Linked DNA regions of Sus scrofa. The protein of the gene in region 3 purifies or fractionates together with the protein of the main gene of each other region. This does not show direct contact. Links are inferred from orthologs where the notes say so. Each region holds a gene or a part of one and is shown on either strand. Other genes may lie near its edges.

Region 1 (5,603 bases), on a different chromosome or scaffold from region 3:
CCCGCCGACACACGCTGCACCTTCAGCAGCACTTGCTGGCCGTGCCTGGGACCCTGTGGATGGCAGGTTTTGTGCTCTCCTACAAGCTGGGTGAGTAGGGGCGGGAGCCTGGGGGAGCTCCAGGTGGGTCCCCATGACTATGGGGCCCATTTGTGGGACTGCCTTCCTTCTTTCTGGAGTACGACTTGCAGGCTGGAGCCCAGTGGCCTCGCTTCTTGTCCGGCAGGTCCAGCTCCACAGCTGTTGAGCTCCAGCCACACTGCCCCCTGCCAAAGCCTCTCTACTCCCTGCTGACCCTGAGCTCAGCCAATGCCCAGCCCCAGCTTCTGGCACCTGTAGCCTGAGGCAGAAGCAGGGTTGGGGAAGCACAATGGAGAGGGAAGCAGGCTGCCCCTGCTGATTTTCTCTTTGCAGGTGAGCAGGGCACCAGCAGCCTGTTCCCACTCCTCCTGTTGGACTGTGGCGTCTCTACCCCAGAGCTGGGGCTGTGGAATGGCGTGGGCGCTGTGGTCTGTTCCATTGTGGGCTCATCTCTGGGTGGCGCCCTGCTGGCCAGGCACCGGTGCGTCCCCCTCAGCTTGCCCTGCCTGCCACCCCCCCACCCCTACCTTCCCCACCCCCTCTGACCTACCCAGTCTCCCCACCCCAGGCAGCCACTGCCCCTGTTGAGGTCACTGCTTCGGTTCCGTCTTGGGGGCCTGGCCTGCCAGACTGTCTTGGTTTTTCATCTGGATGCCCCTGGGGCCAGGGTGGGCCCTGGCACAGTCCTGAGAGGTGAGAGGTTGTCCATGGGGGGAGGAGCCTAGAATCCTGAGCCCTGCTGACCTCAGCACCCCCAGGGGCAGCCTTGCTGAGCCTGTGTCTGCAGCACTTCCTGGGAGGCCTGGTCACAACCACCACCTTCACCCTGATGATGCGCTGCAGCCAGTTGGCACCCAGTGCCCTGCAGGTGAGGGTACGTGGCTGGGACATTCGGGCCACGGGACTGGAGTCCAAGCAGGTCCTGACTGATCTCCACAAATCTCCAGGCCACACACTACAGCCTCCTGGCCACTCTGGAGCTGCTGGGGAAGCTGCTGGTGGGCGCGCTGGCCGGAGCCTTGGCTGACAGCCTGGGGCTGCGCTTCTGCTTCTTCCTCTTCCTCGCTCTCTCAGCCACACCCATGCTGTGCCTAGGCCTTGCACCCAGCACGCTGGCCTGAGCCGGGTGGCTGGCCTTGTCAATAAAGTGGAGTGGACCCGAGGCCTGTGTCTGGACTGAGATGTGCTTGGTTGTCCTCAGACTGTGGGGTTGTCCCCACTGGAAGGAAGGTCCCTAAAAAAGACGTGAGCATCTTTTATTCTGCTTTAAGGCCTCCTTGCCCCCGCGCCCCGGCAGTAGGCTTTGTCCAGAGGGGCTACACAGTGTTCTGGCCGCCGATGCCTCATCTCTGCTGTGCTGACACGGTCCCCCCAGCAGGCCACTCAGCGGCCCCACAGCAGGATCTCCTCTGTGGCCAGGTGCATCAGGGCGTGGAAGTTCAGGTGCAGGTATTTTCTCCAGAAGCGCCGGTCCCGCCCGTACACCTGGGCTGGATAGCGGGGACTCCCTGCGGTGGACAGAGATGTGGCCCTGGGGACTCTGGCTGCCAGCCCCTGCCTTTCTCCAGGCTGTGCCTCCCAGGTCCTCACCAATGCCGTGGAAGACGCGGGCTACAGCCCTGCCTGAGAACTGCTGCTCAGGCCACGAGGACAGCAGGTGGCGGATGTCCCGTCGGATCTGAGCCTCCCAGTCCTGGAGCTGCCCGTGGGGGACACATCAGTCTTGCCGCGGCACAGGGCAGGGAGTGAGTGTGTACCCGTGTGCGCACAGTGCACGCACGCTCATGCCTGCCACGGCCTGACCTTCCCTGGAGATCCTGGCACTCACCGTGGCCTGGCCTGGCTCGGGGCCCTGCTGGTCCATGCCCTCTGGACCTGCTTCCTCTTCCTCAAAGTAGCGGCGGAGCAGGGCCTTGAGCCTGCCACTGCGTTCCTCATCGGGCTGCTCCAGGCACGGCCCACAGCTGGGGAAGGCCACGCTGGGGTGGCATGGGCTAGTTAGGTCTGCCCACCTGGGGGTGGGTGGGGTGGCCCAGGCCCCGCCCACCTCCTCCAGCACCTGTGAAAAGCCCAGTAGGTGTGGTGCAGGCGGGCCAGGGCTTCTCGCTCTCGGGCCTGCACGCGTCCATGTAGGAAGTCACAGATCTGATCCTTCTCCTGGGCGGTCAGGTCCCCGGGGGAGCGCAGGTGGAAGGCTAGCACCTTGAAATCCACTAGCACCCCCGTGCCCCGAGGCAGACCTGCCAGACAGGGTGTTAGACATGGGCAGGTGGGCAGGTAAGCCCACCGCAAGCAGGGCTGGGGGGCAGGCGCACCTGTCCTGGGCTCCGGGTCCCACTGTAGCTGCCGGAGGGCCCGCCGCACGGGGGCCAGCTCCCAGCCCATGGAGTCTGCCAGCTCCACCACATCGAACTCCACAGAAGCTGTGTTCTCAGGGCTCTGCTGGGCTAAGCACGCAGCCAGGGGAGGACACCTGAGCCAGGGAAGGGGGCATGTGATCGGAAGCCTGGTCCTTGGTCCCTGTCCCCAGCCCAGGGGGAAGTGTAGTCACCTGCGGGCCAGGGCCTGGAGCTGGGTGGGGCCCCCAGGGCAGCGCAGGTGGCAGCGGGCATAGGTGGGTTCCAGCAGCTTCAGCCAGCGCTGTGGGTGCAGCTCCAGGTAGCAGAGCAGGGTCTCAATGGCTAGGGGCAGAGCAGGGCTCAGGGGACGTGGGGACATGGGGACGCCCCGGCCACACACGGCCCCTGTTTCTCACCCTCCTCGGGCACATCCAGGGCCTGCACCATTGGCTGCACTGGGAGTGCCCGCTCGTGGCCCGGGCACCGGGCTGTGAGCTCCACGTGGGGGTGGTCGGCATCCCAGGGGACTGTGGCCGCCGAGCTCTCCTGGCTCTCGCCTGGCTCAGGCACCAGGGGCTGCTGAGCGTGGCCGCAAGCAGGGAACACGTGCTGCACCAGCTTCTTCACGGCGAGGAAGTCGATGGCGTCGGCGTGCACATGTCTGCGCAGCTCCCACAGGTCCTCAGCCTGCAGCAGAGCAGCCACCGTGAACGAAGGGCTGCAGTAGGGGGGGGCGCTGGGCAGCTCCAGCGGGTGGATGCTCACCTGGGGCCTCAGGAAGAGGTGGCAGTGTGCGGGCTGCCCGTCGCGCCCAGCCCGGCCCACAGCCTGCACGTAGCTCTCGAAGCTTGGGGGCAGCCCCAGATGAAGCACGGCCCGCACGTCTGGCCGGTCCAGCCCCATCCCGAAGGCAACCGTGGCCACCACCACCCGTAGCCGGCCCTCCATGAAGGCCCGCTGCACCCGCCGCCTCTCCCGGCTGCACATGCCTGCATGGTAGGCTTCAGCCACGGCCTCTGGGGCCCAGCCTGCAGGGAGAGGCACAGATGGTCAGGTGGGGAGCGTGCCTACAGCGGTCTTGTGGGGCACAGCCCTGCCCCGCTACCCCAACCTCCGGGTCCCAGGGCCCAGGTCTCACGCAAGCAGGTGCGCAGCAGGGCAGCGACACGCTCGGTGTCCTCTCGCCTGTTGCAGTAGATGATGATAGAGTCCAGGGCACAGAAACGGTCACTCTGCAGCAGTGTCACCAGAGCCTGCGAGAGAGCACGGTCTGTCTCTGCAGCCAGGCAGCAGGACCTTGGCTGGGCCCCTGTACCCACTTACCTGGTCTGGGTCCCTGTCCATGGACACAGAGAGGTGCAGGTTGGCAGGGATGGTGCCTTGCCCCCTGAGGACAGACTCTTCAGCCACACCCAGGTGCTGAGCCACGTCGAGGGCAGTGCTGCGCGTGGCCGTGGCCGTGAGACCCAGGAAGCAGCTGACACCCACGCGTTCCCGTAACACCTGCGTGGAGGCGGGTGGTAAGGACAACCACCCCACCTTCCCTGGCCCACTCACCGGTCCCCTCAAGGCTTACCTTGCAGACTCGCAGGTAGCAGGGCCGGAAGTTGTGAGACCACTGAGAGAGGCAGTGGGCCTCATCGATGCAGGCGAAAGCAACCGGGGGCAGCTGGGTGAGGAAGGCAAGCCCCGCTGCTCCTGCCCCAGCCAGCGCCTCTGGCGACAGCATCAGCACTTGTACCTGGGCTGATCGAGCCTGAGGGTGGCAAGGTCAGGACAACTGCACAGGGCCTCCAGGGGACTGCTCCCTCTGCCCATCTGGCCCTTAGGCCCCCTTACCTTCTGCAGGGCAGAGTTCCGCTGCTTCTTCGACATCCCTGAGTGGATGCAGGCCGCCTTCAGGCCTGGGGGCAGGCCAGACACCTGCAGATACAGGAGCATGATGCCACCCACCCTGGCCCTTCCCCACACAACTCTTAGGATGGTTTGGCCTGCCAACCACTGCTCTCTCAACTTCGGGCCCTCTGAGGAGAAGAAACCTAGATCCTGGGTCCCACGACTCAGGGTTCAGAGCCACCTGCGGGCCTGATGCAGGAGCACCAGGAATAGACAGGTAGTGGGGGGGGGGTGTCATTCCCCCAGTGCCGTTCCTCCTGTTGGGGGGCCTGGGGCTGTGAACAGCCAGGCTCTCTGCAGCGCTGGGTGGGGCAGAGCAAGAACCAACAGCCCAAGTAGGTTGACGGAGCGGTGGCTACCCATTCTCACCTTCTGCATGTGCCCAGGGGCCCTGTCCACCCACCTGGTCATCCATGAGTGACATGAGGGGAGAGATGACCAACGTGAGGCAAGGGCTTCTCCGGGAGTAGAGCAGCGCAGGGAGCTGGTAGCACAGAGACTTGCCACCCCCTGTGGGCAGCACCAGCAGTGTTGACATACCTGGATGTTTCTGAGGGTCAATAGTGCCACCCTGTGGCCGGCCTTGGCCCCACCACAGCCCCCTGCCAACCAAACTGACCAGACAGGATCCGCATGACCACGTGCTCCTGTCCAGGGTTGAAGGCTTGGTGCCCCAGCTGCTCCAGGGCCTGGAACACCTCGGCTGGGGTGTCTGCAGGCACAGGTGTCAGGCGGTATGGCCCCGAGACGCCCCCACCTCCTCAGTAAAGGCACTGGGATGGTAGGTGGCTACTCACCTGCCACCTGCCCTGACGGTCCCAGCGGGTAGAGTGGGGGCACGGGAGGAGGTGGTGGACAGGGCGCCCTGGGCATAGATGACTGCATGGGCACTGACAGCTCAGGCCCTGCAGGCTCTGTGTCTTCCTCACCTGCCAAGAGCAGACAGGACAGGGTAGCACAAAAGCTCCAGGCTGGTCTGGGCTCATCCCGGAAAGGAGGCCACTTGCTCCAACCTCTTGTCCGCTCCTTCACGCACCAGGAAGTTGGCAGCAGGTGGTGCCCGTTCTCTGGGGTACTTCCTCTAACATGGGCAGAGTCCCTGTGTCATCCTCATCCTTGCCACCCTCCTTCTGAGGGGCAGGCTCTGGACCAGAGGTAGGGAGTTAGTAGGGCTTTTTGCTGGAGACAGAACTGCCTCCCCTTCCAAGCAGTGTGGGCTCAAGCAACCACCCAAGGCAGAGGCCTCACCTGGTTGAGGGCACTGGGATGCCCAGTGACCGAGCTGCC
Region 2 (5,180 bases), on a different chromosome or scaffold from region 3:
ATTTGATGAGGGCCTCGGTAAGAGATCTCTTAGAAGTTCCCGGGTCCCACTTGCAGTGGATCTACTTTCTGTAGGATATGAGATATCGGTTAGTTGCAGAATGGGGGGTACAATCAGGTGTCTGCCCAGCCCCTTCCCACTAGGAAGTGTGGAGGACAGGCCAGAGGGCAGGCTCTCAGCAGCCGTTTTGTACAAATACGTGTCCTCTTGTGTCCTAGTCAAATGGATTAATACCAACTGGACCCTGATAGCAAGTGGACCAGGAAGATCTCAGTTACGAATTGAGCTGGTCTCTAAAACGAGTCGTAAGGGCCTGGGAAGGAGATACGGTGAGTTACGTAAGAAAGAAAGCAACCGGACAAGCCGAGAAGCCAGACACAGAGTGTCCGCTCCGCATTCATCTGCTTTTCCAGCCATGACGGGAACTCCGGCTTTTCCAGTTTCTAACGCATTCCTGAGCCCGGGTGCCCCAAGTTTCATACACTATCCCTGCACCTTTACAGAACATTCCTCCCTTCGCTGCAGGTGGCCTGAGCAGGTCTCTGTGCCTTGCTGCCCAGAGAATCCTGACGGTCTGAGGCCTCGGGCCCAGGGACGGCAGGTGAGCGCGTGGGGACCATACTCACAGAAGTCGCTGTGCCTGCGCTGGCGGTGGTAGGTGGAGGAGGAGCTCCGCTGCCCTTTGCTGTGGCTGGTGCCTTTGCTGGAGCTTGTTCCATTGGTGGTGTCGCTGGGCGCCCGCACCCGTGCCAGGGCCAGCCCCGGGGCGCCCCGGTCCCCACCCTCCTGCATGAAGATGACAGACAAGGAACCTCAGCCCCGACCCCTCTGGCCCAGAAGTCCCTCCACCCTGGGCATCGCGCGTCCCGCAGGTCCCTGACGCCTTCTGACCTCAGTCTTCCTGCCCAGCAGGAGGTAGGTGGCGGTCACTTCGTTGTACTTCTGGCTGGTCAAGGCCTCTTTGATTTCTTCCCGCGTGTAGCCCATACCCACCATCACCTCTGGGAGATGGGGATGGAGAGGAGGTTCAGTCTCCCCATATCCTTCCTTTCCACTTGTTTCCGCATCTCGTACTAATGCCTGCTCTTTGCCTGTCCAGTATCTACGCCCCCCTTCTGCCGGCAGCACCCTGATTTTCCTTGGAAGAACATTCCTCCCCTGCTCAGATCTGGCTGACTCCTGCCTGCTCCAAGCCCCAAGGGAAGGCATATATATAGAGTCCAGGTCTGGCCAATCAGAGTGTTCCATCCCCAAGACCAAAGTGATTGGTTTGGGGGAGGCCTATGACCCAAGTCTGGCCAATCAGAATGCTCCACACCCAAAGCCACACTGATTGCTTCAGAGTGGGCATATGACCCACTTCTGGCCAATCAGAGTGTCCCGTCCCCAAGGTCAAACTGATTGGTTCAGGGATAGCCAATGGGCACCACCAAGGGCTTCTTCTGGAACATTAGGAAAGTGGCTTCTCCTGTTGAAGGGGGTTATCCAGGCCACCAGGACATGCTGTTGCCAGCTTGCTCCTGGGAAAGAAGTAACCACTGAGAAGATACCCAACAAATGTTTCTGAGCACCTGGAACCAGCTATGCCTGAAGGCTGATATACCCTGGCCTTTTCAGTTATGAGAATGAATAACATCACTATTAGGTTAAACCTTATGAAATTGCTGGTTTTGACCATTTTTGAGCTATAAGAATGGCAATTTCATATGGTTTAACCTATTACTATCCAGCTTAGGCCCGAATGACTTGGCATTTCTGTTACTGGCAACCATGAAAGTCCTGATGAACACGGCCAGATAACGGTGTCCTCGGTCTCCTCATCTGTACAAGGAAGGCAACTGGAAGGTTCCTAACGGTTCTTCCAGGGCTACTGTGTTAGGGGTCAAGTGTTGGACGGCTCCAGGCTGAGGGGATTGGGACCAAAGAGGTGGTGGGTGAGGCACGTGCCGAAATAGCAGTTTTCCTCAAACATGCAGGTTACTGACGGTTTTGTCCAAGCTCTTCTTGGACAAAAGTAATCTGTGATTTCTTCTGTCTTAGCGGTCAAAGCTAACATACCACACAGCACTGGTTACCTGACTAATATAACTACGTAAATTGCTTTATGTAAACTCATTCACTTAACATGCATAACAAACCTATGAAGCAAAGTTTTCTGACTATCCCCTCTTCCAGATGAGGCAACAGAAGCACAGAGAGGGGAAGCCACTGGGCCAGGGTCACACAGCTAGAAAGTAGCGGGGCAGGACTCGGAGCCCAGACTTCTCTGCTCTCCCTAAGGGCCTCGCAAACTTCTCCAGGCACTAAGCAAAGCGGTAAGTGCTGGGAAGCTCCCCCTGCCCCAGCTCTGAGGCCTGTGGCTCCGCTCTGCGTGACCCTCACCAATTCGTTTGGTGTCCCCGAAGTCCTCCTCAGGCTCCGTGTATGGCTTCAGCTCCTCGCCCTCGTAGCCGATGTTGATCCACTTGTCTTTCATGATTTGCTGCAGGAATTGGGAGCCGGCCAGAGATGGACAAAGAGAGATGTCAGAAGGCCCGGGAGAAAAGTGAGCTCCCCACCCCACCCTGCTGCCTGCCTCCAAGGCACAGCACCCCAGAATCCAAGGCTCCTTGAAAGCGGGCACCTCCGAGCCCCACCCTACCCCCAGCCGGAGCCTCCCGAAGCCGCCCTTCCTCCTCCGCATCATCTGGGTGCCGGCGCCCTGTAATCTTCCTAGCAGCTCATTAGCTAATTACGGGCATGTCGGGGAGTGGGCGAGGCTTGGGGGGGGCAGCACCGGGACGGGTCTGGGAGCCTTTTCCCGGGGCTGCCTGTCTCCCCTCCCCTTCTGACAGCAGATCAGCCCCCAGCAGGGTTAGGGTCTGGCAGGACAGCTGCGATGGAGGGGTCGGGGCTCAGCTCACCTCCAGAGTACAGCGTTTAGCTGGATTCAGCACCAAAAATCTCCGCAGGATGCTCTCACAGTCTGTTGACATGTAGAAAGGGACCCGGTACTTCCCTCTGAGGACTCGCTCCCGCAGCTCCTGGGGGGATGGGGTTACTGGGGGCAGGTCCACCCGGCCTCCTCACTCACTACACACACCTTTCTCCTGATCCCCCAACAGAAGTGACAGGAGCTCCAGGTCCCAGCCCCAACGTGTGGGGGAAACCTCACCACTTTCTCTTGACCTCAGTTTCCATCTGTGAAATGGGAATGTTGTACTAGATGCAGTAGTTTTCAAAAAAAAATTTTTTTTTAGTTAAAAGAAATTTTTTAAAGTAATAGAACTTTTCACTCTGAGGACATCTTATAGAGCAAGTGAATTCCATAAGCCAGATAAGAGAGCAGGTGGCCGGGCGGGTCAGCCTCTGGGGCCTTAGTTTCCGTGTCTATAAACTGGGACCACAGCACCAGCTTCCCAGGCACGAGTGAGTTTGTAGAAGTTAATGCCAAGCACCAGTCACGTGCAGAGCAAGTGCCTTTTAAATATTGGGTTTACAAAACGGGAGGAGAGAGGGGAGCCCTGCCCCGGCCCCCATCCTAAGCCTGGTTTTCCAAAAAAGCTCCCTGCCCCAGCAGTCTCAAAGAATGAGCACTGATACATATATATATACATATATATTCTGCCTTTTTAGGGCCGCACCTGCGGCATATGGAGGTTCCTAGGCTAGGGGTCAAATCAGAGCTGCAGCTGCCATCCACAGCCACAGCCACGCAGCATCTGAGCTGTGCCTGCACCCTACACCACAGCTCACGGCAACGCTGGATCCTTAACCATCTGAGTGAGGCCAGGGATTGAGCCCACGCCCTCATGGATACGAATCAGGTTTGTTACCACGGAGCCACGATGGGAACTCCAAGAGCACTGATTTATGTTGACTTTTTTTTCTTTTTAGGGCCGCACCTGTGGTATATGGAGGTTCCTAGGCTAGGGGTCGAATCAGAGCTGTTGCTGCCGGCCTCCACCACAGCCACAGCAACGCCAGATCCCAAACCACTGAGGGAGGTCAGGGATCAAACTCGCATCCTCATGGACACTATGTCAGGTTCTTAACCTCAGGGGTGAGCCACCATGGGCTCCTTTTTTTTTTTTTTTTTTTTTTTTTTTTTTTGGTCTTTTTGCCTTTTCTAGGGCCGCACCTGCAGCATATGGAGGTTCCCAGGCTAGGGGTCTAATCAGAACTGTAGCCACTGGCCTACACCACAGCCACAGCAACTTGGGATCCGAGCCGAGTCTGTGACCTACACCACAGCTCACGGCAATGCCAGATCCTTAACCCACTGAACAAGGCCAGGGATCGAAACTGCTCATGGTTCCTAGTCGGATTCATTAACCACTGCACCATAACGGGAACTCCTATTGACCTTTTTTTAAGGGCCAAAACTATGAAAGAAAAAATAAATTCCATGCTCCACGGCATGGCAGACCAGGGAGAGCCCCTCCATCCTGAATAAGGGGGTGTGGAGTTCCCCAGTCAGTGCAGTGGGTTAAGGATCTGGCATTATCACTGCTGTGGCTCAGGTTCGATCCCTGGCCCTGGAATTTCCGCATGCCACATGCATGGCCAAAAAAGGAGAGAAGGAAGGGAGGGAGGAAGGTGAGAGAGAAAGAAGAGAGGGAAAGAAGGAAAGAAAGAAAGAGCAGGGAGGAAAAGGAGGGAGGAGGAGGGGAAGGAGGGAGATACGCAGAGGGCGTGAAAGGAGGGATGTGTTTCTTGGGCGGAGTCCCCTGCGGGGGCCTGGGCTGGGAAGGAGCTCCCTCTGAGGGCCTTCTCCTAAAAGGGCTGGATGAAGCCTATGCCTGGGGAGCCTCCCTCTGCAGGTCATCACAGCCCGCAGCGTGGTGAATATTTAATAGTGATGAGTATTGCTTCCACGGTACTCGGCTGGTGTGGGCAGAACTCTAAGCGCTTTATACTAGGTTTACAAGGATGCTGTGAAGCAGGTGCCTATTTTCCAGACAAAGAAACTGAGGCCCAGAGAGGTTATATCACTTGCTCTGAGGCTGTGCAGCCAGGAAGGCGCAGGGCCAGGGCTCAGAGGCAGTCTGCACTGTGGCACCCCCGCTCCACGTGACGGTGAGAGGCACCCCCAGGCCACTGACACCACCACCCAGAGCAGCTCCCGAGGGTGACACCCTGGCCAACTGCCAGGTCCCAGGGAAGGGCCTTACGCATGCGGTCTGGCTGTATGTGTCCCC
Region 3 (5,626 bases):
CCAGTTCCTCTGGAAGACCCTTCAGGAGAAATCACCTTGAACTTGTTATAGCTAACCTTGACCCTACCCAGAAAAGCAAGGCACATAATAGGTAACAAATAATCAATCATTGACTGATTTCTCATCTTCAGCAATCAATGGGCATGGAAGAAAACCAGCAAACAAGTGTTGAAACCTTTCACACTGTAATTTCTCAGTTGAGAATTTAAGGCTGTGGGGGAAAATCTGCACAAGTATGAAGGTCACCCTGATAAAGAAAAAACGTGCGAGAAGACTATTACACCTAAAATGCACACCGTACATATTTGCCAGAGATGATAAACATATTCTGAAATCAGGTTTACCAAATGGTTGTCTTTGTTTCCCCATTAACACTATAGGGAATCTAATCCATCTATGAAAGTGCATTCAAAATGTGAGAGGCTTTCCCTTTTCTTTTCTTTTTACCCGTTGAATATAATCCACTTAGTCCCCATCTCCAAAGCCCCTCCCAAATAGTGGCGGAGGTTGAAGGGAGCGCTCTGGGAAGCCCTTGCTGAGATACTTAGCGGAACTCTGTTCTCCACGTGGGCTATTTAGGAGGGTCGCGGTTTCCTCGCGTGACACCACCTCCTCCCTGGTTCTTCTCTCGCTGCAAACAGAAGTCAGGGTGACGAGATAGATTCTCGCTTGCAGTCCGAGGAGGCGCTGACCATGGTCCTGGCCTCCGAGCTCGGGATGCGAGAGCGGAGGACGACAGAGGGGATGCGCTGGAAGTGTACGCAGGGCGCGGCGGGGAGCTGTCGTCTAGGCCCCCGCCCCTCCCGACCCCCGGGGAACCCGCCGGCCTTCACGCGAACCCTCCACTGCACGCTCTGAGCTGCATCAAAAAAGGGTGGGGCAGCCAGACACAGCTGCAATCGGAAGCTGCCCGGGAGGATTTAAGAAGAATGGAACCTCGGCCCATCCCCTCCCCCTCCAACCAAGAGACCCCCCAGCCGGGGATAGGCCCATCCTTTACCCCTACCCCCACCACCCAGGCCCAGGGAAGCGCGGGGAGCCTTTGTGGGCGCACAGCCGCCCACCGCCCAGCCCGAGCTTCTCCGAACCCTGCACGGAGAAGGGGCGGGTAGGGTGGGGTGCTTGTGCACATGCAGGGAAGCGATATTCGAGGTGGGGCAGGACGGTGGGCACGCTGGGATCCTCGGCTTTTCACCGAGCTGGAAGGGGCGCGAGGGAGGGGCGAGCCCCACGCTCCGTCCTGTCTCGAACACCTCCGCCCCTCCTCCATACCAACCTGGTCGTTGATGTTCTGCAGGGCTTCCTTACCGGAGGCCCGCCGGATCTCCACCTTCCGGCCCGATTCAACAGATGGCTCCCCGCCGGCGCGCCGACCCTGCCGGGAGTACGGCGGCTGCGGGTCCGGGCCCAAGTGGGCGACGTCCCGCTGCTGAGCCACCACCTGCCCCGAGCCCCGGCCCACCGACAGCGAGTCGAAGTCGATGGTCTTGTTCTCCGAGGACCCTTCCACCGGGCAGAACATGCCACAGAATTTCTGTCGAGGCTTGGGGCTACCGGAGCCCAGGTTTTTAAAAAAGGCAGGGACCTCTTCGTCCTCTGCCGCCTTCCCGGATTGCTTCCTCTCTGCCATGGCTTGGGGGCTTGGGGAGTGTCCTCTCTGTCCGTTCTTTCCTCAGCGGGTCCCTAAGTCTGCCTGTCTCTGTGCAAAAATCCCCCCCGGCTGCTGCCTCGGCTGCTGCTCTCTGCCTACCGCAAGGTGTACAGAAAGGAACGAGGGCTGGCGAGCGAGCGACCCACCCCTCCCGGTCCCTCCCCCTGACCCCGCTTTCTCCCCTCCCTGCCCACGCCCCCCGCAGCCTCGCGAGCTCCCGCGAGCGGCAAAGTTGGGGTTGGGAGGGTGGCCGCTGCGGCAGCAAGAACCGAGAGGCTGCCAGTTACCAGCAGCGGCGGGAGGTGGGGGGAGGCGCGGGCGGGGCGGGGGCGGGGCGCGGCGCTGGGGAGGGGAGCTCAGCGCTGGGGAAGCTGGGGAGGGCCGCGCCGCCCAGACCCCACGCTCCGGAAGTGAAGCGGCCAGACCCCCGGCTAATGGATGCGGAGCAGAAAGCCCGCTGACCGCTCTCGGCCCCAGGGTAAGTATGGGGCAGGGCACGCTGGGGCGAAGATCCGAGGGCGCCATCCCAGGCCCCCGCTCCCCTCTCCCCGAACTGCCCGGCCCAGGCACCTCTCTCCCACCGCAATGCAGAGCTGGCCCAGGGGCGAGGGCCCACTGTGTGGAGGGTTCCCTCCCCCTTACCCGAGTGCGAGCTAATGGATAGGAAAAGGGGCAGAAACTGGTAGACTCAGGACACTCAGCGGGAAGGTAAGGGGCGGCACTCAGGACGGAGAAAGGATGGCGCAGGCTGCGCAGAGTGGTGGGGGCCATATAGGGCGCGGTCTATCCATTGGCCTTGGTGGGCTACTGGGAGCAGAGATTGAAACAAGTTCCTCATTTACTATACCCACTGTGGTGGGGGGCGCGCAGCGTGGCGGAGAGAAATGCAGAGAGGCATAGCAAATGCGGAGGAAGTCGGTATATATAGAGAGAGACATAGGTCCACGGTCTGTGGGAGTGTAGCAAAGAGTGTAGTCTGCAAATTCCAGCCCAGCGCGGCAACTTGGATGTATAGTGAGAGAGGGAGCAGACCGCTACACTGGCGCGCCGTATACCGTAATTGCGCCACAGCGCCAAGAAAAGCCCAGCAGAATGCATCTTCCCCCGCCCCCAACCCGGCAAAGAAGGGAGAAAGACATTCTTTGAAGCCCACTCCCCAAATCTCCAGCCCTACCCAGCGCCCAGGGCGCCCCGCCTCATTTCCCCGCCCTGCTGCGCACTGCGCCAGAACCACGGGGTTTCCTAGGTTGCCAGAAGCCTCGTGCCTGAGGCCTTCTTGCGCGCGCGGCCAGTGCAGGGTAAGGAGATGGGGTGCCAGCTGTGATGAGTGAAGAACTGTGTGAAATCCAGCAGGAGAATGAGGTATGGGGACATGGTGTGCATGCGCCAGTAGACTAGCCACAGCCACCACCGGTTTAGTGGGCATCCAGAGGGCATTTTAATGTATGCCAGTAACACAGTCTCTGAGGGCTCTTTATTACTTACACCTATCCCTCTGTCCTTTCCACGTCTCAGTCCCTGCCCATGATTGATTACAGCCCTGCCTTTCTCTCTTCAGTGGCAAAATCCTGCAGAAATGATGCCCATCCTTTGGCTGCTGGAGAAGGAGCTCTGGGCATGCTCACTAAGCTGGGTGGGTTGGACTGGAAAACACTCTACCATAGGAGTGTCGTTGCTGGGCAGAGTAACCAAAGATCCGATCCCATTGTCATCCCTCACCCCTGGAAGGGTTAAATGTGGATACCCTGCCTCTCCCAATTGTGATGGATAGTTTGGTAAATGGAGTTAAATTCTGAGGACAACCAGTCCCAGTTTGAAGATAAGCCCACCATGATAGGTGGGAAGGCATCTGGGGATGAGAAGGAGAGGAGGAGGGAGGAGAGAGGAATTTACATGTGCAGGGGATGAGAGAACCAGAGGCAGGCATTTGGACTGAGCACCAGATGTGCTTCACATTTGAATAAAATGCTTCCACACGAATCACGCCATTTCCTACTGCCAGCAGCCCCCTGAGATGAGTGTTTCATTGTCACCACTTCCCAGGATTCCAGGGTAGAAAACAGATGTAGAGGCTTTGCCCAAGGTAACTGTCTAGTTAAATGATCCAGCAATTCCAGTGAGGTCTTCCACCTGGAAGTCTGGTTCCTTTTTGACCTTATCCTGTCTTTATAGGAGAAAGGACAAGATTTTCACATTTTCCCCTATATTCAAATATTTCCATCTGTGGCTTTATTGTGTGTCAGGAATGTTTCACTCGCCTTTTATTTTTATTTTTTATTTTTTTTAACTTGAAGGTAGGTTGCATTGCAGGTAGAGACTGGTTTTGGAAGAAGAAGACACCCAAAGATAGCCTAACTTCAGCATGACCATTATTATGTAGACCTTAGAGCTGTTTCTTCCTGGGTACCCAGTGTCTTTTTCCACCTTATGTTTCCTCTATTGCAACAGGGAGGAAGGTCACTCCCACGTCTTAGAAGAGGAACAGGAGGCATGATGAAGTCCCTGGGTTCAGATCCCTGGGGCTGCAGGGCAAGGACGTGATCCAGCATTTTGCCCTTCTGACCCTCTGGCACATGCCCCACTTTCAGCACCTTCCAGAAGGACTCAGGAAATGTGCCTGCAGCAAGAACAGCTGCCACTGTAGCTGCAGGTTGGCATCTGTGGCATATGGACCCCATTTGGAGTGATGGAGATTTTTAGGGAAAAAATAGTTGTGGCACCTTAACACACACTCCACGATGCATGACAGCAACGGGATGATAGACAGTCTTCCCTTTTTACATTATTCAGTCTCCACCGGCTCACCACAGATGTGCCTCCTCGATTTTTCTTTGTCCTCAAATCACCCATTCAAGTTCAGATGCTATGAAGAAAGCATCATGTTACTAATGAAACATTTATAGCAAGAAAGGCCCCTACTTGTGCATTTTCAAAACCTGACCAGGCATAACCATAGGGAATTCATAATTCCAAGTTTAACTTATTTGGTTCTACAAGTTTTTTCTAATTGTTAAACCTATATTAAATTTTACCTATAATGTTATATTAAAGTGTATTATATGTTATATTTTATACCTGTGTTCAGTTGGTTTTAAATGTTTGAGTGATTTCTGATTGGATTTTTTAATCAAAGAAATGAAGCAACTCACTATTGTTTAGTAGATTTAATTAAATTGTGAAGGATTGCCATGTTTTGGAAAAAGTGTATTAACAGTCTTCACTTTGGATATCATTAGGTCATAAAATTACACTACAATTATATTTATACAGGACAGCGTGGCTTGGCTGGCGCTGAGAAACACCCAGACATGCCGTTGTGTGGCATGGAGTGACATCTTGTGCTAGAAGCTGAATACATAAGCTCCTTGGCTGTCATGGGATGATTTGAAACACATAAACAGGTATCTGGCCACATCTCCTGATGTCATTCTGCATGTGGGAAAGATCTTCCTGTCCACAACTAGGGCTCCATTAATCTGCATGCCTGGTGAGCATAGGGTGGGAAAGCCAGCTTGCAGGAAAGTCCCCAAGAGAACAACAACAAAAAAATCACTATAAGCAAAGAAGAGGTCTGACTCAAATACAGTGTGGGGCAGAATCCCTGGTTTACCCTCACTTCTGTCCCTAACCAGGTACAGGTGCTTCCTGGGAAGGAGAAAGCTGTGTGGTAAAACTGGCCATTGTTTCCCCAAGAGCCCAAGCCACGCTGCTGGGAGACTTCCCTCCAGGAGTTCTGGGTGCCTGAGTGGAGGCGTCTCCCCACCTGCTAGAGTGGTGAGGTGCCAGAGCCCCAGAGCACTCTGAAAGCAGCTGCTTCTCACTTTTCCAGTGGGGCAGTCCCACCACGTGGCTTCAGGAGGGAACCGGCTCTGGAGACACAGGCGGGGGCTGGGGTGCTGTCCTGAGATACTAACTGCTCACCTTGGGTCAGGTGTGGAGACCTAACAGAAAGAGCCGAGTTCTGGCCACTGGGCA
Region 4 (5,180 bases), on a different chromosome or scaffold from region 3:
CCTACGCCACAGCCACATCAGATCTGAGCCGCATCTGTGACCTACACCACAGCTCACGGCAACACTGGATCCTTAACCCTCTGAGTGAGGCCAGGGATCCAGCCCACATGTCACGGTTCCTAGTCGGATTCATTTCTGCTGTGCCACGACGAGAACTCCCTAAAACAAGTCCTTTATCCTCTTTAGGTTTGTTTTCTCATCTAGAAAATGAAGAGGCAACTACATTAAATCTCAGATTCTCTTAAGTGTTTACAATTTAGAAGTTTTTTTTGAATTTCATGAACCATAAATCTAATGCTATCTTCATGTCAACTTGAATTTCTTCCCTGCAGGTTACCTTTTTTAATCCAGTTATTGAAAGAAGACCAAAACTCCAAAGACAAAAGAAAATTTTTTCAAAACAACAAGGTAATTACTAAGCAATCAAATAACAAAGTGTTTTTGGTGTTATCAATATATTTTAAAATGTACATACCGTTTAAAAAGCGATACCTGTCTTTTTTTTTTTTCATTTTTGTTCAGTCATTTACTTGTCAGTTTTATTATGGAATACTTGAACCGTATCCACAAGCATAGAGACTAGTAGTGTCCCATCACTCAGCTTCAACAACTCAGCTCGTGTCCTCGTCTGTATTCTGTTTCTCACAGTTGCCTCAGATTATTTCAAGCAAACCCAGACATCATATTGATTCGTTTGTAAATGTCACAGTTAGTATCACTAAAAGAGAAGCATTTTTTTCCTAAACCTTTTTTTTTTTTTTTTTTTTTTTTTTGGCCTTTTGGCCTTTTATAGGGCCGCTCCCTTGGCATATGGAGATTCCCAGGCTAGGGGTCAATCGGAGCTGTAGCTGCCGGCCTACACCACAGCCACAGCCACGCCAGATCCGAGCCGCGTCCGCGACCTACAGCACAGCTCACAGCAACGCCGGATCCTTAACCCACTGAGCAAGGCCAGGGATCAAACACGCAACCTCATGGTTCTCAGTCGGATTCCTTAACCACTGAGCCACAGTGGGAACTCCTTTTTTTCTAAACCTTAACCATATATCATTACTAGATAGATGTGTAAAAAAAGAAGTGGTTCCTATCTATTTATTTTCAAAACCGATAGTGCTATTTTGCACTAGCCTTTAATAACAAATAGTTAAGAACTATTTTTTAAGTGACAAATTTTGTTTATTCTTCATAAATTATAACTGATGAATATGAATTTTTAAATTATGGCTTTTGGTAACATATTAAAGAATTACTTGTTCTGTTTCCTTTATTTACAATATCCACAGGCAAAACATTTCTCAGAGCTCCTCAAATGAATATTAATATTGCCACTTGGGGAAGGCTAGTGAGAAGAGCTATTCCTACAGTAAATCATTCTGGCACCTTCAGCCCCCAAGCCCCCGTGCCTGCTGCAGTGCCAGTGGTTGATGTGCGCCTTCCTGAGCTAGCACCTCCAGCTACGTATGTGTCTTAAGATTTTTAAGCACTGCTTTTATAAAATAGTTATTGTGATATTTGTATATACTGATTACTTTAAGTCTATTAAAGATCTCATTTTTTCCAAATAGTGTTTTGAAGTCAGTGTTCTGCTTCCTTTTAAAGCAGTAAAATGGTTTGCTTTAAATTTAAAGCTGTTTAAAATACATACTTTTGATTACTGCCTTCGGTGAATTGCTTTATCTTTTCTAAGTGATTCCGCAGTAACCAAATTGGACTTTGATCTCGAACCCGTACCTCCTCCGGCCCCACCACGTGATTCTTCCCTCGGAGAAGTAGATGAAGCTGCTGAATTAAGAGATCTGGATACACCAGGACAGGCAAGGCTTTTTTTTTTTTTTTTTTTTCCTTCTTCTCACTTTTTAGGGCCACACCTGCAGTATGTGGAGGTTCCCAGGCTAGGGGTTGAATCAGAGCTACAGCTGCCATCGTACGCCCCAGCCACAGCAATGCAGGATCCGAGCTGCGTTTGTGACCTACACCACAGCCCATGGCAACACTGGATCCTTAACCCACTGAGCAAGGCCAGGGATCGAACCCACACCTCCTGGTTACTAGTTGGATTCATTTCTGCTGCACCACAACGGGAACTCCAGGCAAGACATCTTAAACCTATATAATTCCTTTTCACCTAATGAATTAGCCAGTAAAAGCATCATAGTCAATAAGAGGTGCATTTCAGTTAAAAATAGCTGTGTGGACTGTTTTTTATGATTCTTGTGAGGGAAACATAAAAACCTCTGGATGCTCGTGAGCCAGTTGGGGTGGAATAGGCCACCTAACCTGGGAGCATGGGAATAGGAATAGGCTGCCTGACCCGGGAGCGGACCGCGGCTGATAGTGAACGAATCACTGCATCTTCTAACTAGATTAACATGGTTTCTGAAAATGCGTTGACGATAACAGTAATATGGAAATATGGTTGATTTACAACATTGTGTTCTGGTGTGCAGCATAGCGATTCAGTATTTTTGCAGAGATCTGTTCCGTCGTAGGAGATTTCAAGATGACGTGCTCTAAAATACATCCGTGTCGCTTACCTGTTTTATGTAGTAGTTTGTATCTGTTAATCCCATTCCCCCTAATTTGCTCCTCCCTCTTGGTTCTCCCTCTAGTCACCATAAATCTGTTTCCTAAATCTGAGTCTGTTCTGTTTCTGTTTCATATTTAGATTCCATGTGTAAGTGCTATCATATAGTATTTCTTTCTCTGTCCAGTTTATTTCACTAAGCATAATATTTTCTAGGTCCATCCATGTTGCTGCAATTGGCAGTATTTCATTCTTTTTTATGGCAGAATAATATTCTGTGTGTCTTGGGGAGGGGGCACATCTTCTTAAACCCACGGCCTCTTGATGGGCACTAGGCTTGCTTCCACGTGCTGGCTGTTGTAAATAGTGCTGCTGCACATTGGGGTTCGTTAAGCTTTTTGAATTAGTGTTTTCGTTCTTTCCAATGTATTTTTTTTTTACATTTTTTAAGTAAAAGTAGTATAGAATTAGTAACGACAAAAATGAATATCTAATATCTGAACTTTATTTTGTGATATTTATATTTACTTTTAACTTTTTAAAAACTATCCTTACCTAGTAAGTTGTTTCCTGAATGTTTCTGTGATTTATTGCGTGTTTAATGTTTTGCAGGATTCAGAAACTCTTTTTGATACTGAGAATGACAGAAATAGTATCCTTCCAAAGTCTCAGTCTGAATATGAACCTGATATTCCTCAGTCGGGCTTAGAATATAGTGGTATTCATGAACTTGAGGACAGAAGGTAAAGGCCATATACCCAGTGCTGTGGCTGCATGTTTGGTCCCATATTTGCGCCTTGTTTTTAATTGACATTACTGTTTTCAGATCTCAACAGATGTTCCAGTTTAATCTACAAGACTTCAGATGTTGTGCTGTCTTGGGTAGAGGACATTTTGGAAAGGTAATCTTTTAAATTTTCTTGGAATGCCTACAAAAGTAATAACTCAAATGAGAAATAACTATTTTAATCTCATTTCAGGTGCTTTTGGCTGAATATAAACACACAAACGAAATGTTTGCTATAAAAGCCTTAAAGAAAGGAGACATTGTGGCTCGAGATGAAGTAGACAGGTTAGTTTTTAAAACATGAAATTGTTTATTTTTCCAAGGTTGCAACTTAATGTCATGAAAATCGTGTATATATTGCAACAAAAAGTTTATTTTCATGATACAGTGGACAGTTGAGCAACATGGGTTCTTTTTTTTTCCCCTTGTTTTGGCCACCCTATGGCATACAGAATTCCCGAGCCAGGGATTAGATCTGAGCCTCAGCTGTGACCTACACTTCAGCTACAGCAATAGTCAGATCCTTTAACCCACTGAGTCAGGCCGGGGATCGAACCTGCATCTTGACACCGATGACCCTGGTACACCACACTGGGAACCCCACAACGTGGGTTTCAGCTGCATGGATCCACTTAAATGTGAATATTTTCTTGCCTTTTTTTTTTTTTTTTTTTTTTTTTGGCCTCTCCCATAGCATGTGGAAGTTCCTGGGCCAGGGATCAAACCCATGCCACAGCAGGGATCTGAGCTGCTGCAGTGGTATCTTGAGATCCTGAACCTGCTGAGCCACAAGAAAACTCTGAAACATGGTATTTTTCCGTAGTACATGGTCTGTGGTTGGTTGATCCACAGATAGGAAGAACTGCAGATACAGAGGGCCACCTATAAATTATGCATGGGTTAATTCCCATGCTCTTCAGGGATCAGCTGTGATAAGTAAAGAAACTAAATAAATTAATGCATAATTAAATACTGTTTTTCTTTCTAGCCAACTCCTTCTTCCCCTTCTTATGGCAGTTTGCTCATGAGTGACACCAGGGAAAGATGATGAAATGTTTAAACTAATTCTGATAAGGTTTTATACTTGGAAATGTTTATGTGGAATAGGAACTGTTGGACATCTGTGGTTAGGTGAAGCCATTTCCCATTTCATATTACAGAAGTAATGAGATGCCATGTTCAAATAATCTTCCGTTAGCTGCATGGCTAATTTATTCTGCTTTTTAAAATGTACCTGGCACATGTTTGATCCCTGGACCAAGAAATTCCACATGCTGTGGGAGCAGCCCTCCCCCGCTCCAAAATGTAAATACACCCATAGGAGCTCCCTGGTGGCTCCGCAGGTTAAGAACCTGGTGTTGTCAGTGCTGTGGTTCGTGTCACTGCTGTGGCATGGGTTCAGCCCCTGGCCCAGAAATGTCCTTGTGCCACAGGTGCAGCCAAAAATATAAAATAAAATAATAAAATGCACCTATATCTATTTTTCCTCTCTTTTCCTTAAAGTGATGTTTTTTGACTAAAGCATCTGACCATTCTGGGTATAAATTGATGGGGATACATTTCATGGACAGCTATTAAAATGTCAGTACTTTGCGGGTTATGTTTTACTTAGGTTAGAGAATATACCTTAAAAAGGCCGGCATGAAATGGAATGGTTATACGTGGAAATTATTACATAACCAGTGGCATATTTATTACAGAAAGAGGCTTTCATTTGCTATTTAGAAGTAGCAGTGTTTTTCTTAAACCACTGGGAAGTATCGGTAAATATTAATGGAAGACAGCCCTGTGTAATGAAAACAACTTGGGACAACAAGTGAAAAGATTTCTCTATCCTGATTGTTGCTTTTTAATTGATATTTGACCCAA

The links.
Region 1: the proteins of PNMA2 (region 3) and RECQL4 purify together in Homo sapiens (affinity purification with mass spectrometry; 3 studies listed by BioGRID and IntAct, with this or other methods). This does not show direct contact. The link is inferred for Sus scrofa from reciprocal best matches to the Homo sapiens genes PNMA2 and RECQL4.
Region 2: the proteins of PNMA2 (region 3) and MARK4 purify together in Homo sapiens (co-immunoprecipitation; 3 studies listed by BioGRID and IntAct, with this or other methods). This does not show direct contact. The link is inferred for Sus scrofa from reciprocal best matches to the Homo sapiens genes PNMA2 and MARK4.
Region 4: the proteins of PNMA2 (region 3) and PKN2 purify together in Homo sapiens (affinity purification with mass spectrometry; 3 studies listed by BioGRID and IntAct, with this or other methods). This does not show direct contact. The link is inferred for Sus scrofa from reciprocal best matches to the Homo sapiens genes PNMA2 and PKN2.

Annotation. Positions count from the first base shown.
Region 1 is NC_010446.5:289,347-294,949, reverse strand, and holds the end of RECQL4 (ATP-dependent DNA helicase Q4), read right to left. Parts: coding exon 5,565-5,603; intron 5,461-5,564; coding exon 5,353-5,460; intron 5,246-5,352; coding exon 5,114-5,245; intron 5,029-5,113; coding exon 4,936-5,028; intron 4,857-4,935; coding exon 4,720-4,856; intron 4,344-4,719; coding exon 4,260-4,343; intron 4,177-4,259; coding exon 3,997-4,176; intron 3,924-3,996; coding exon 3,744-3,923; intron 3,674-3,743; coding exon 3,559-3,673; intron 3,449-3,558; coding exon 3,186-3,448; intron 3,108-3,185; coding exon 2,837-3,107; intron 2,763-2,836; coding exon 2,633-2,762; intron 2,555-2,632; coding exon 2,397-2,554; intron 2,322-2,396; coding exon 2,141-2,321; intron 2,061-2,140; coding exon 1,910-2,060; intron 1,804-1,909; coding exon of another isoform or gene 1,781-1,803; coding exon 1,672-1,780; intron 1,590-1,671; coding exon 1,465-1,589; 3' UTR 1,322-1,464; downstream 1-1,321. Other genes in the region: MFSD3 (major facilitator superfamily domain-containing protein 3), read left to right, coding at 1-90, 415-562, 650-774, 840-955, 1,029-1,202. UniProt on the Homo sapiens protein: An ATP-dependent DNA helicase which unwinds dsDNA with a 3'-overhang in a 3'-5' direction. Does not unwind more than 18 bp of dsDNA. May modulate chromosome segregation. The N-terminal domain (residues 1-54) binds DNA Y-shaped DNA better than ss- or dsDNA.
Region 2 is NC_010448.4:51,682,028-51,687,207, reverse strand, and holds part of MARK4 (MAP/microtubule affinity-regulating kinase 4), read right to left. Parts: intron 3,024-5,180; coding exon 2,904-3,023; intron 2,483-2,903; coding exon 2,383-2,482; intron 1,002-2,382; coding exon 892-1,001; intron 787-891; coding exon 627-786; intron 1-626. UniProt on the Homo sapiens protein: Serine/threonine-protein kinase. Phosphorylates the microtubule-associated protein MAPT/TAU. Also phosphorylates the microtubule-associated proteins MAP2 and MAP4.
Region 3 is NC_010456.5:10,424,753-10,430,378, reverse strand, and holds the start of PNMA2 (paraneoplastic antigen Ma2), read left to right. Parts: upstream 1-1,989; 5' UTR 1,990-2,129; intron 2,130-2,864; exon of another isoform or gene 2,865-3,013; intron 3,014-4,099; exon of another isoform or gene 4,100-4,301; intron 4,302-4,921; 5' UTR 4,922-5,052; exon of another isoform or gene 5,053-5,283; 5' UTR 5,284-5,626. Other genes in the region: DPYSL2 (dihydropyrimidinase-related protein 2), read right to left, coding at 1,277-1,630.
Region 4 is NC_010446.5:127,601,479-127,606,658, reverse strand, and holds part of PKN2 (serine/threonine-protein kinase N2), read left to right. Parts: intron 1-332; coding exon 333-408; intron 409-1,283; coding exon 1,284-1,458; intron 1,459-1,687; coding exon 1,688-1,814; intron 1,815-3,136; coding exon 3,137-3,267; intron 3,268-3,350; coding exon 3,351-3,426; intron 3,427-3,504; coding exon 3,505-3,596; intron 3,597-5,180. UniProt on the Homo sapiens protein: PKC-related serine/threonine-protein kinase and Rho/Rac effector protein that participates in specific signal transduction responses in the cell.